3 linked regions of the Arabidopsis thaliana genome follow. The protein of the gene in region 2 interacts with the protein of the main gene of each other region in a pairwise test. Each region holds a gene or a part of one and is shown on either strand. Other genes may lie near its edges. The genes, in order: UBC10, MUB2 and UBC28.

Region 1 (4,495 bases), about 17 Mb from region 2:
GGAGAAACCATTATCAGTATAAAACACAAACTGCACATATAAACCAATAGCTGAGTTTTACGATATGGGAGATATACAAAATGTTTCTACGGACTATTATCGTGATTGCCATTTGAGAACAGTTTCAATCAAAACTAGAATATGTCATCTAACAGTATTTAAAATATAGTTGTAACCATTTGTATCTCAACGTACTAATTTCAGTAGTTATCTCCTAAAAGTGTTAATTCTTTATCTTCTTCCATAAATATAGATATGATTAATAGGTACAAGTGGATCCTCTGGTCTCACCACTAACTAATAGCCAAGTCACTTAAGAAACAGAGCTCACTAAGTTTCAGAGACTAAAAAGACCCACATCAGTTCTCAGTAACACAATACCTGTAGTGTCAATATCAGGAAATGAGATGAAAATAAACAATTCTCATGTGCATGGTATTAGCATTCAAAGAGGAGACATCAAAAACCAAAAATTGCGGTCATAGTTACCTGTTAGAGAGAAGCACTTCAAGTTCATAGTCAGAAGCACTTTTAGTGACATCTACCATGACCTGAACAAGCTCAGTCTTCCTAGTGCTGGCCATGAAGAGATCATATTCCGTGGGAATAATGATAGCGAAGAAGTTATCACTCAATTTGCTTAAACACATCTTCTCTACTGATGACAAAGCAATTCTCCTGGTCATAGCTTCAGTCTCGGGATCAATTAGATAGATCGCAAAATCAGTGAGGATAAAAATACGCCGTTTCATCTTCCCCGAGCCGGTGAACTTCAAAACTTTATCAGCAAAAAGAATCGATGTATCACCTATAACAACAATGAATCACCTTCTCAACATCAAACACATGCAATTCAAGGTGAATCCAATCATTAGCAATCCAAACAACCACATAAGAAACTATAAATCGATGCCACAATTCTACAGCTGATTCAACTATTCCTCCAAGTTCTTCGATTCACAAATTGCCTCTCAATCTCAAATTCATCAAATAAAAACCAAAAGTTTGGAGAAACCTAACCTTGTTTCTCCAGAATTCGCATCAATCCAGGACGAGAAGAAACGTGAAGATAGTCACCACGATGCTCTCTATAGCGAGACGCTTTCCTTCTGACTTTACCTCCAGCGAATGGCGTGTGATCTCCTCCGTCTACCTCACCCACACTTCGATCTTCATCAAAATCAGGTGGAGGTGATTCTTCGCCGTCGAACTTCGGCCCCTTTTGCTCCTTCAACCGGTTCATTCCTCCCGGCGACGAACTCGAAATCGGAATCGGTTAGCTTATTCTCAGATTCTGCGTTAGAAAAATCTCCAAAGTGAGAGAGAAGACGTGGCTTCAAATGATTCGATCGATTAAAAGATACAAATCTCAGCCGTTAGATTATATGACTTCATCGCAACGCGTTTCGATGCCACTTGATTTGAAATTTATAATAAACTCGCAGCCGTTAGATTTCAATACCACTTGATTTAAGGATAGGATATCAACCGTTAGATTAGATGACTTTTTAAGACGATGTCGTTTCAATGCAACTTGATGTTTTAATTAAGAAGCGCCGCGTCGTTTCAAGGTCCACCGAATAATAAGAGGGTTAAAAGTAGAGTCCACTAGTCAAAGAAAGTAAATAATCCACACGGTATTTATTGTAGACGTGAGCACAGAGAATAATTCGTATTCTTCGTCTTTCGTCCACCACCATCTCTATTTTCTTCCTTTCCCCTAAGTCTTGGTTCTTCTTCTCTCTAATACGAGAAGAAAAAGGCGAAAACCTCGCCAATCCGATTACGCGAAAAATCAAAGGTATTGTCTCTGTAGCTTTTGGATCTATTACTTATATTTCTCACGGATTTATAGCTTCTCTGATTCGTTTAGAATCTTTGTTTGATTTTTGATTTTTAGGTTTTTGGATATGGCGTCGAAGCGGATCTTGAAGGAATTGAAGGATCTCCAGAAGGATCCACCTACATCATGTAGCGCAGGTACTTGTTTCGTGTTTGGATTTTGAGATTTCATCTTAAAAAGTTTTGTTTCCCTGAGCTGGTGTTGATAGATCCGGTTTTTTTGTTCGCTTATGCTTGGATTTGTTTGGATTTGTGTGTTTATGTGTTGTTTGGTACCGATCTCGAGCTAAGTACTCGTTTTACTTTTTAAGATCTGGCTAGAACTAAATTTGGTTTATCTCGTTTCTGATTTCTCTGGTGAAGATCTTATAAAGGCTTAAAACTCGTTTCATTGTCTTAGTTTCTGGGGTCTGGTTATACTTGTGAAGAAAAAACTGTCTCTTTGTTTCCTTGTGCTTATGTGGTGTGAGATTGAGTTTATCTTTCTGTGTACAGGTCCTGTTGCTGAAGACATGTTTCACTGGCAGGCAACGATAATGGGTCCTTCAGAGAGTCCTTATGCTGGAGGTGTTTTCCTTGTAACCATCCATTTCCCTCCGGATTACCCATTCAAGCCTCCTAAGGTGATTCCAATATTTTGAGAATTGTTATCAAGTATGTTTTGCCAAAGCTCGTATGTTCTTTATGGTTGCTTCATTATCTCATTGTTCTTCATTATGGTGTGTGTGATGATATCTAGGTGGCCTTTAGGACCAAGGTGTTCCATCCCAACATTAACAGCAACGGTAGCATTTGCCTCGACATCTTGAAGGAGCAGTGGAGTCCTGCGCTCACCATTTCCAAGGTTCGGTTTCTCTTATTCTTTTGTTAACAATAGAAACCCACCTTAAAACAAATACTCTCTATTAAAACTGCTTCAGAGGCAGTAATCTACTCTTATCAAACATGCTTTTGCTCCTTAATCCCTAGTTGAAGTGATAAGATTGAGCTGTCTTCATTAAACTTTGACTCATTTCGGTTGTCTCTGAAACATTAAGCTTATTAGACTCATTGAGGATGAAAAATTGTTGTTTGTTATCGATCAGTTCTAACAACTGCTTTGCAATTAACAGGTGCTGCTATCGATCTGTTCTTTGTTAACCGATCCAAACCCGGATGATCCTTTGGTGCCCGAGATAGCTCACATGTACAAGACTGACAAGAACAAGTACGAGTCCACTGCACGAAGCTGGACTCAGAAGTATGCCATGGGCTAAATGGAAAATCCCACCTACTAAATTATCTCTTTATGAAGAAAAAAATCTGCCTTAATTTCTATGTATGATTCGATAGACATCTCTTTGTGTCCTTTTAACTTTCTGAAGACAGGACCAAATGAAGTGGGTCTTGTTTTAAACGAAACAAAAAAAAACATCATCTTTGTGAAAACTAGAATCTGATCATCTTCTGTTGTTTCTTCTTGTGGTGAAATTATGATTTGATGTTTTCGTTGTGTGATGAGTTGCTACGAGTTGTTCAAATTTATCAAACTAGTCTTCAAACTTATCCAACTGGTCTTCAAACTTATCCAACTGGTCTTCAAATTTACTCTGAGTTAATCGTTGTGGCCAATGCCCGTCATGGTGACAATGCGTTCTGTTGTAGCACGTATGTTGTAGAAAATGAGTTTTGTACCTTGCAAGGTGCGCCTGTGGATTGTGGACTACATACGTGATGCAACAAACATTTTAAGTATGCAATAATATCACAAACAATCCTATATCCATTAAACGACATGTATTATGCATGTTTGAACTCAAGTAGTAACTCAGCAATGATTCACTAGTACAAAACCACTAAACACCCTATTTTGTTTATAAGTTATAACAGTTTTCTTATTCGTATCATCCATCATATCATGAGTTTGACGAAAACATGTTATTTGGTGAAGTCAAATTATTTGACAATACAGTATTTAATAAAATAATAAATAGCCTGATTATGTGGAATGTGAGTGGTATAGAATCAACAGAAAAAAAAAAAAGAGTGGTATAGAATCTAATACTACAGATAATCTATAGATGAATGGGTATGGACTGAACTCAAGTTATGTAGATGGGCTTCGATGGACCAAAGATCCATCGCTCGTCCGAGCTTAAAGTATCACCCCTAACAAATTATCTTTACAAGTCCACAGGTAAGAGAAAAATACATTTAATAGTGTTGTGCTATTAGAATATTTTTGAATTTCTCTTCTCTATAAGAAAATACAGTATGTTACTATCTTTTTTTCAAAATTTATCATTATCCCACGGATCAGTGTATTAGAAGAGTATCAGTTTGAACTTAGAAATGATAACCAACAGGCAAAACTTACTCTAGTTAAGAGCAAAAGACCAAATTAAACATCTGCTTTAAGTTTAACAAAATAAGAAATCATAGGGACTATAGGTTTGATTTAGATATCCATGAAACTTGTAGGCTAAGAACTCTAGACATTCAAACGCAAAATTCAAACAATTGGTGTCGACTGAAAGAAATAAAATAAAAATCAGTGTTCCATGTTTTTTGGTTTAGTTAAGATAGGTGTTCCATATTCCAAAATGTTAAAATACTTTAATAATTGTAACAATGCACGGTTAAAGAGACAATACAACCAATTAACTATTCGACG
Region 2 (4,858 bases):
GGAAAAGCCGCAGAAGGTTGAAGATGAGAAAACGAATAAATCCTTCGAGTCTCCGTTCCTACACTGACTACACCACTAAACGCCGCCGTAGCAGTCGTCGTAGCCGTCGCCATTAGCTCGGAAATTTAAGAACAGCAAGCAATTGAAAAAGGAAGATCAAATACAACAGGTAGTTTAGCACAAATCCACCAAAACGGCGAGATGTTTACTTAAGAAATCAGCAAAGAGAAACGCTTTTGCTTTCTCGTGTAGTTTTAGCGAGAACCAAGAGAAAAGGTGAAGTAGAAAACTAATAAAGAAGAAGAAGAAGTTGCTAAACGACGCCGGAGTCTTCGTGAACCATCGGGATGTACTTACTACTGAGACCTTCTTCTGACACGTGTTCACTCTCAGAAAACTTAGGATTTTTCGAAGTAGAATTAATATGAACCGTCCAAAAATATAGCAGAAAATAATAATTAATATATAGTTTCCCGAATTTTGGGCCGTTGATAACGAGATTGGCCCACTACGACTGTTAACAGAAACCAAACATTGTTAACCACGGAAATTATGTCAAGTTATATTTCGTGATGATTCACTTTATTCCGTGCAAATTTGTTTGTTACCTAATAATTTCCACGGTGTTGCGAATCCGAAATACAATAGAAACCAAACCTCAAGCGATCAAAAAGCCAATCATGTCATGTCATGTCAGAAAAAAGAATTACAAGGAACAAGAGCAAAAGGTATTGAAGAAGGCTCAAGAACAGAATGTGAATCTCCCAAGCTTTTTTAACTCTCTCTACTTGTCTTGCACAATTGTTAACAACGAGCTCCAAAACATAAACAGACACATTTGTTCTGTTTCAGATCACCTTTAGGCTTCTTCTTCTTCTTTTCTGTTTTAAACCATTAGCAAAGCAAATGATCTTCAGATTCTCATACAAATGCATAACCTTAACAGATGAGGTTTTCAAACAGTATATACTATGAACAATGCTTAAGAATCTAAAGATTACCTTTTTCAGTAACTTGATGTTGAATTATAACATGCATTGTGGTGACAGCACCTGAGAAATTGCCGACGGGACTCCTGCAATCTCCAACCGTTTTGTTGTTCTCCAATATTCTACCCGCGCTTATCAGTTTAACATCTTTCACTGTCTTTGGCCCGTTCTCCTTATCTGCTCACATTCATACAAACAAGCAAAACCATAAAGGGTTAATCAATTTCATATCTTTCAGTGTCTTTGCCACATTCTCCTTAGCTGCTCAAAATTATACAAACAAGCAAAACCATAACACCAATGACTCACAATCAGGTTTTGATATTATCACAGATATAGGCGAAAAACCAATGCAGGTCCTCATGGAGAAGCGAGAAGGCGTTCTTGTTAAGTCCAGTGCAGTGCAGGACTAATGTAACTAGCCTAGGGGTGATGCAGGGAAGTGTAGCTTTGCCAGCTCAGTAATAGACCTCATCGGTTAGTTGAGAGCTGAAGGTTTAAGAAGCTGATTGGTCTAGATAATTTGGGGGCATTGGGGAGAAAGAAGAGTTGTACAGAAATTACTCTCTCGTTTGCTCTAATTCTGTTTCAGTCTCTTCTTACGTTTGGTCATTGATTTATCTTTGTAACCAGTTTCTCAAGGATCAATAAAGAGGGCAATGAGTTTCTGAACCTAACAAAAGGCTAAATATGAAAGTTTCTTTACAATGCAATTCTAAAGTCTAAACCATTCTAGTCATGGAGAAATCGCCAGACCGATAAAGCTTAACGCGGCTTTATCTCATTGCATAAATGAATATCATCAATACATGTAAAGCAGAGTAAGAGCATAGACACTGACCTCTTGGCCACTGAGCAACAACGGTTTCTTTCAATGTAGCAACGGTAGTAGCATCAGGAAACAATTTAGGACCGATATCAGAACCATCGTTAAGCCGGAACTTAATCTCTAATTGATCCTTCACCTCTGCCATATATCTCTCTAAAGGAATGACCTAACAAGAACTCAAAACGAGACAGTGTATCAAGAAGTTCAACCGAAGCAACCGAGATTTGAGCTTTAAAAAACTCTAAATTGAAACCTCGTTTGCTTTGATCCTATCTGCAATAAATCAAAAACAAGGAACCAATTGTTTCACACAAGAACAAATTCTCAAGCAGCTACAAAAACATGTTTTCTCTAGCTCAAGTCTCAATGTGAACCCTAATGAAACTTATGGATTGGTAGATGATCCTGAATGGTGAAAATGAATATAAGAAACGCATTGATCAAATAATATGAATCCTAAGAATAGCAAAGATCATTCCTTGAAAATATGATCGATCATGAATCGTATTATCTCCGAAAGGAACAACAAAAGTACCAATGGAACTCAATCTGGTATTAGATTAACCGATGGAACACGAACAAAAAGAAACCCTAATTAGGTGTTCTTACTTGGGTCCGCTACTGATCTGAGTTTGATGAGGAATCAGAGAAGGATCTTCGAAACCTCACATCACAGAGGAGAGAAGAAAGAGAGAATGATTAAGAGAGATCTCACTCATAAGGTTTGAGAATAAATTGCAGCCAAAATGTTCCCCAAATCCTTTTTATGTCCTTGTTCTTCTTCTTCTTCTTCCCATCTCTACGCCAATTAAAATGCTCTACCTTTTAAATTCCTTTTAAAAATAATAATTATATTACCAAATGCTCTCTGTACATTGATATGATCTCATTTTTATTTGTACATTCAAAAGCTATTGGAGATTTTTGTTTGTTTGGTTAATCATCAACGATCTTTGTAGAGATTACATTCAAAATCACAGCTCGAAAAGATTAGGAACTGAAATGATGATATTAATAAGAAATGTGGAGCAAATAGCAACAAAACAAGTGTATAAGTGTGTTCCTCAATTTATCAACAACTGGCTTTTCTGGTCATAACCTCTCCCTCTCTCTCTTAATAACCAAAAAAGAATTATAAACCCAATCTTTCTTTCCCCATTCTTATAAAAAGATTCAAGAATTGGATTCTCCAAAAGAATTTCAAAAAAAGGGTAACCTTCTATTTTACAGAAAGAATGAATCTTTATCTCTCTCTCTCTCTTTCTCTTATGCAACCTTCCCTTCGCTGCAACCAAGTTTCTCTTATGTATGTGGCAAACTAAATTTCTGATTCTTCCTTCTTTAGACTGAGTGTAATATCTGCAGACTGCCTTGTCTTTTTTACTACTTCTCCTCTTTTACACCTGTAACTACCTTCATGATCATACACCTGTAACTCTTACCTTCATGATCATCTCAAAGTTTCGGTTTTCCTACTCCAATATGTGACAGTTCTTGATGAAATCATTTGAGTAGTTGACGTATTTGGTCCAGAATGGCCGCAGATGCTCGAAACCAATCTCCAGCCATGGCTTTGACTGCCCATTGTAGTGGATCACTGCTGCTTTCTTCACATTTTCTATGTTGGTCTTGCTCTGGTAGCCTAATCCTAGCATATGCCATGACGAGTCTATTATGTGTACGTGACCCTTGAACGCGATAAGAGCAGGAGGCAAGGTTCCAAGTTTCCACATTGTCAGATTTGACTTTAGATTCTGTTCCAAAGCAAAAGTAAACAGAGTAGATTAGAGAGGTAACTTTAGATTCTGCTAAAGAAAAACAAAAAAGTGTAAGCTTATTCGATAGAGTTACCTCTCTAAGCCAAGAGTGATACGTTTCTCTGATATTTGTTTTCCTCCAAGCTTGTAGATCGAAGATATTCATACCATATGCCCAAGCACATTCTTCAGGATCTAAATGCTTTGCGATGAGCGGGTGAGAGAAATTGAAGTAGTTCCTTAAACGCTTTGACATCACCCATTCATCTTCACCCCTGCAAGTCTCTACTGCCCCATTGACCTTACCACCGAGGTCAACATCCCAAAGTGGAGTTAAGTCTCCCTGGACAACTATATCATCGTCTAAGAAAACCACCTTGTCCAAGTTCGGGAAAAGCTATTCCAAAAAAAGAGACGAAATTGGCAAATGATTTAGAATCCCCATGAGTTCTATTGCAAGTTCAAACTAGGGGATAAAGATTTACCTCTGGTATATATATTCTAAGATGGTTGAGCAAAGATATGTATTTTGGACTTCTAGACTGCAATTTTGAAGCAAATGTTCGAGGAGTTGTTTCGGTGAGGTTTGCCCCAGCGACATGATTCCCATGATAATAGTCCCTGACACCATTATGGCTTTCCACAGCTTCCAAAACCGGAACATTCTCTCTCGTCAACCAGTCAAACTGATGAACACCTTTAACCTCAACAATTGCTGGTGCAACAGAATTAAGCGCAAACCATGAATGCATACCCGCATAGGTTTTCTTGTCTGTAATGATGTGAAAGACAATTTTCTCGGGTTTTGAAGATGACTGAACAGCGGATGAGACCACAACTGAGGCAGCCAAAATATTGTCCGTGGACAAAATAAAGTGGTGGTAAGCATTATCTGAAAGAACAGGGAGAAACTCTGGTGAAGGAAGCTGTCTTCGAGCATGAGCATTGGAGGAATATTCATCTGTCAGTCTTAGAGAGAGACAATGAATGCCTTTGGGAATGGAACTTGCTGCAAAGTGCTTGTTCATAAGTTCTGCAAATTTCGATTCCCTCATATCACGTTCAAACTTCTCCATCTGTTCAAGACAAGATAGAGATATATCACATATGATAATCTTCCCATTGATATGGCTCACTTTAGAGAGCAACAAGAATTAACAAAGATCTCTTCCAAATGCAAATAAAAAAGAAAAGAAACCAACTTGACAATTGCAAGAGCCACAGATAGATGCAAAATATTTTCTAACTAAACAAAAACAAATGTCCTTTTGATGCAAGTATAT
Region 3 (4,525 bases), on a different chromosome or scaffold from region 2:
TTTTCCTTGTTAATCAACATGAACGTAATTAGTTGCTATGTAAATAACTAAATATAGCCTAAATGATTGGCTAAATCACTACATGAATTATTTTCAGTATTTAGAATATTTCATTGGTTAATAATAATACACCATGATTTACAGATTTTACATTCAAATCATCATAAATTAAATGAAAATTCAGATTGAATGAAAAGTTGGATGATCTAGCTAACCAATAAATCTACAGTTTATTGTTTCGTAATAATATGCCTTTTGATTTCGCTTTCCATTTCATAATGAGGTAACTTAATTCAATGGTAGATAAAGTGTACCTTTATTCTTTGATTTGAGGTATTTTTAAATTAATGCACATATGGAATCATTGATCCCTTACAAGCAAGGGAAATGATAAAGGTGGAGAAAATTTTCTGTAGGGTAAATTTATCACTTTGCATTTCATACAAGGGTAAATTTCGAATTAATATGTTAATCAACATCTTCAAAATCATGCAATTTTTATTTTATTTTTCTGCAAAAATGGTTTTATTTCAATATTTTCTCAAACACGGAATTTTGAAAATTTGGTAGCAAATGTCAAATGTTCCCATTTAATCATCGTCATACTTTGTTAGGTAAAAGCTCAAAGTTTCCAGCTTTACATAAATAATTTTTCTTATAATTTTTTGGAAAAAGCATAGAAACAAAGATAGGGAACATATGGATAATAAAGAGGTGAAGTAATGTTTTTGTTTGAGATTAAAGAGGTTTCAAACAAAGAGATGATAAAACATAGGAATCTAACTTATTTCATGGAAGATCCCTATGTGAAGAAGTCCTCTCTCTTTCTCTCTCTCTCTCTATTAAAACCGAGTCTGTGAGGGATCAAAGGACACAAACTTTCATCCCATTGCATATTTCTGAGTCCAGCTTCTCGCAGTAGACTCATACTTTGCTCTATCGGTTTTGTACATGTGAGCAATCTCTGGAACCAATGGATCATCTGGGTTTGGGTCCGTTAACAATGAACATATCGAAAGCAAAACCTATAAATTCACAAGAGATTTGATTAAAATAAGAGGAGATTCATTATATATCATCCACTGCTATTGGTTAAAGAGTGCTTTTTCACCTTCGATATGGTGAGTGCAGGACTCCATTGTTCTTTCAAAATGTCAAGGCAAATGCTTCCATTGCTGTTGACATTAGGGTGGAACACTTTTGTCCTGAATGCAACCTGCAAGAAAAAGAGCATTTTGAATTCCAGTTCATGATTTCAGTTTGGTAACAATGAATAATTTACCTTTGGTGGTTTGAAAGGATAATCCGGAGGGAAGTGAATGGTTACGAGAAAGACACCGCCTGAATAAGGACTATCAGATGGACCCATTATTGTAGCTTGCCAATGAAACATGTCTTCAGCAACTGGGCCTTGAAGATTTCACAATTGTTCATAGAAGGAAAAAATAGAAAGATTAGTCTTTTAAACATGATGATCTATGGCATTTACTGAAATACACACAACAAAACATGTGCCATAGCAATGTCCTGAGACTTCTCTAGCAGAAGAATGCATGAACAGTTTGAGAATCTCCGACAACAATCCTCTAACTCTATTAAGACCAACAATTTCGACGCATTATCCACTTATCATATATTTTAATAAACAAAACAAACATGTATAAACCTGAATGCAATAGATAACTAAGAAAGACTATCAGTGCGAGGTATCAAGTCTGTAAGATCCGTTATGGATACTTGGATAAACAAGGCAGCATACAACACCAAAAGCTTAATTCTAAGAAAATTCACAACTTTCAATAGCTATTTCCTAGACTATGATCATAAGATAACTGCAACGACCAATCTCAACTTTGTTCTAAGAAAAATCTCAACTTCCAACTGTTATCTTATTAATTATGATCAATAGTATCCAGGATGGGTAAATGGATCCCAATTTTTAACAGCTATCTTCTAGACTATGATTATTAGAAAGCTGTAATTTTCAATCAAGGATCAGTACAGCCATAAATTTGTTCTGTTCTAAGAAAAATCTCAACTTTCAATTGGTATCTTCTAAACTAAGATCATAACTTAGCGGCAATTACCACCTCAAGATCTCTAGATAACTTCGTTATAAAATTACGAAGACTAAAAAAGATTTCATTTTTTTGTTTGCTTAAAGATAAGATTATAAGATCTAACAACAAAGCTCAAAAATAGATCAGACACGATTTACGAGAGGAGAGGTAAAGACTAACCAGCACTGCAGGAAGTTGGAGGATCCTTCTGGAGATCCTTGAGCTCTTTCAAGATCCTTTTCGAAGCCATTTCTCAACCAAAAAAAAACTCCTAGATCCAAAAAACCAAACCCTAGATAGATTCAGCAACGCAACAAACAAAGGAAAAGCAAAGGTTGAAAATTTCCGATAAAGGATTGAGCTTTTTTACCTCAAGACAGATCCTCCAAACTCGGTTTTGACGATTCACTTCCTGCAGATGATTTTTGAGAAAGAGACAGAGAGAGCCTTTGAGACCTAACGAATAAACAAAGAGAGAGAAATTTTATTTATGTATGCTTCAAATATAAATAATGACAGCTATTTTCCAGCGAGCCAGAGAATCATTATTGGATAAACATACTTTTAATAAAAAATAAAGGACCCTCTGAGTTAGACAGAGTGTTTCATAGAGGCTTTAAAAAGGTGCTTAAACCCTTTAGGGTTTTTGTCTTCCAGCTAAATCGACTCTGACACAGAGATAAGCAGAGAGAGAGAGAGAGAGTTCTGAGATCAGAATCAATGGCGGCTAAAAGTACGTTGAAGATCAAAGGCAAAGCAAAACCATCAAAGGGATCATCATCATCTTCGTCCTCCTCTGCATCATCAAAGTACAAGGTCTTCAAGGATTGGACCAACTGGTCATTACAGAAAGCCAAAGTCGCGACTCACTATGGTTTCATCCCTCTGATCATCATCATCGGCATGAACTCAGATCCTAAACCTCATCTTTTTCACCTCCTCTCTCCCGTTTAATCCACAAATTGGATCTTCTTCGTAATGTTCTTCTTAGATGCTTTTACTTTTTTTCCCAAATTTGTTCTGTTTTCTTCGTTTTATGAAATGGATTTATATTTGTTTCTGATTCTATAATTCAAAGTCTCATTCTTTTTTGCATGATTCAAATTCAATAAAATCAAATGATCTATGAAGAAACAAAGAATTTGCTTTAATGGTTACTACTACTAGTTTGTGTTGTCTCACTCTGCATCAACTGATCGAATATCTTCAATCAATTTCAAAACTTGAGCTATATGAGGTCTTTCTTGTTGCTTCAGAGCAACACAAGCCAATCCTATTTGCAACATCTCAACCATCTCCTCCTCGAAACCACCTGATTGACTCAATATCTCCATATCAAACACTTCTCCAGTCCACTCTTTAGCCACCACAGATCTTATCCAGCTAGCTAAGTCCATGTTCTCACCTCCTGTTGGTACTAATTCTGCTTGACTCACTGGTGATTTCCCTGTCAAGAGCTCCAGTAATACCACACCGAAGCTGTATACATCCGAAAACTGTGTGCTTCTTCTTGTGTCTGTTATTTCAGGTGCATGGTAGCCAGAAGTAAGGCAAGTGGTTTGAGGAAGTGATCTCATGATTGTCGTCAAGCCAACATCGCCTATGCAGCCATAGCATTGTGAGTCTAAGAAGATGTTTGAGGATTTGATGTTTCCATGTATGAACTTCCCTTCGTGGATTTTAGCTAGCCCTCTCGCTGCACCGGTTGCTATTCGCAGTCTAGCATCCCAATCTAACGGTACTCGATGATACCTTCCTCTGTTTCCTGCAAAGAAAATGGAACCTTGTAGTTTCGATTTATCATCAGAATGAGAGCAATGAAAATAACTAACCGTGCAGTATTTCGAAGAGGCTTCCATGATTGTAATAGCTATAAACCGCGAGCTTATCGTCTTTGGAGTAGTAGTAAGCCTTTAGCTCAGCTACATTTTCATGTCTGATCATACCAATGATCTCCATTTGTTGCTCAAACTCTCGTCTTCCAACGACAACTTCCTTCAATCGTTTTACAACGACCGTGCTCATGTCCTCCATTGTTACCTTATAGGTTGTACCAAAAGCACCCTTCCCCAAAACTTCTGCAGATGAGCTTAGCAAATCATCTAAATCAAATAAGTGGTTTCTTCCACCAAAGAAGATGATCTTCCCGCCTTCTTCAGTGTTATCATCTCTAGATGTCCAGTTTCCTGGAGGAGAAGACGAGTCTCTCTTTCGCAACTTCCCGGAGATTCTAGTCTTCCCGAAACAAGTGATCATTATGAATGATAATCCGGAAACACACAAAACGCAAGCTGCAGACAGAATCAGCAAGAAAGCAAGTTGGCTTAACCCGAAAGGAGTCTTGCGTTGTTTCTTCCTCTCGGTAAGGTTGTTGCCAGAAAAAGCTGAACTTTGGAATCTTTGAAGAGACTTTGGTATTGTACCGATGAGCTTGTTGTTGGACAAGTTGATCTGACTCAGTTTTG

The links.
Region 1: the proteins of MUB2 (region 2) and UBC10 interact in a two-hybrid assay, tested with the Arabidopsis thaliana proteins (one study listed by BioGRID).
Region 3: the proteins of MUB2 (region 2) and UBC28 interact in a two-hybrid assay, tested with the Arabidopsis thaliana proteins (one study listed by BioGRID).

Annotation. Positions count from the first base shown.
Region 1 is NC_003076.8:21,631,405-21,635,899, reverse strand, and holds UBC10 (ubiquitin-conjugating enzyme 10), read left to right. Parts: upstream 1-1,652; 5' UTR 1,653-1,801; intron 1,802-1,873; exon of another isoform or gene 1,874-1,900; 5' UTR 1,901-1,910; coding exon 1,911-1,980; intron 1,981-2,337; coding exon 2,338-2,465; intron 2,466-2,581; coding exon 2,582-2,686; coding exon of another isoform or gene 2,687-2,713; exon of another isoform or gene 2,714-2,954; coding exon 2,955-3,098; 3' UTR 3,099-3,333; exon of another isoform or gene 3,334-3,452; intron 3,453-3,853; 3' UTR 3,854-3,879; downstream 3,880-4,495. Other genes in the region: AT5G53310 (myosin heavy chain-like protein), read right to left, coding at 490-808, 1,021-1,243. UniProt on the Arabidopsis thaliana protein: Accepts the ubiquitin from the E1 complex and catalyzes its covalent attachment to other proteins. Mediates the selective degradation of short-lived and abnormal proteins.
Region 2 is NC_003076.8:5,018,143-5,023,000, forward strand, and holds MUB2 (membrane-anchored ubiquitin-fold protein 2), read right to left. Parts: upstream 2,785-4,858; 5' UTR 2,428-2,784; exon of another isoform or gene 2,092-2,427; 5' UTR 1,964-2,091; coding exon 1,831-1,963; intron 1,629-1,830; exon of another isoform or gene 1,354-1,628; coding exon of another isoform or gene 1,299-1,353; intron 1,167-1,298; coding exon 1,002-1,166; intron 882-1,001; coding exon 805-881; 3' UTR 538-804; downstream 1-537. Other genes in the region: CLPB3 (casein lytic proteinase B3), read right to left, coding at 1-113; GAUT14 (galacturonosyltransferase 14), read right to left, coding at 3,291-3,572, 3,670-3,972, 4,061-4,651. UniProt on the Arabidopsis thaliana protein: May serve as docking site to facilitate the association of other proteins to the plasma membrane.
Region 3 is NC_003070.9:23,831,577-23,836,101, reverse strand, and holds UBC28 (ubiquitin-conjugating enzyme 28), read right to left. Parts: upstream 2,552-4,525; 5' UTR 2,431-2,551; intron 2,353-2,430; 5' UTR 2,311-2,352; coding exon 2,241-2,310; intron 1,626-2,240; coding exon 1,500-1,625; intron 1,411-1,499; coding exon 1,283-1,410; intron 1,217-1,282; coding exon 1,112-1,216; intron 1,026-1,111; coding exon 882-1,025; 3' UTR 566-881; downstream 1-565. Other genes in the region: TOM7-2 (translocase of outer membrane 7 kDa subunit 2), read left to right, coding at 2,781-3,014; AT1G64210 (Leucine-rich repeat protein kinase family protein), read right to left, coding at 3,239-3,825, 3,893-4,525. UniProt on the Arabidopsis thaliana protein: Accepts the ubiquitin from the E1 complex and catalyzes its covalent attachment to other proteins.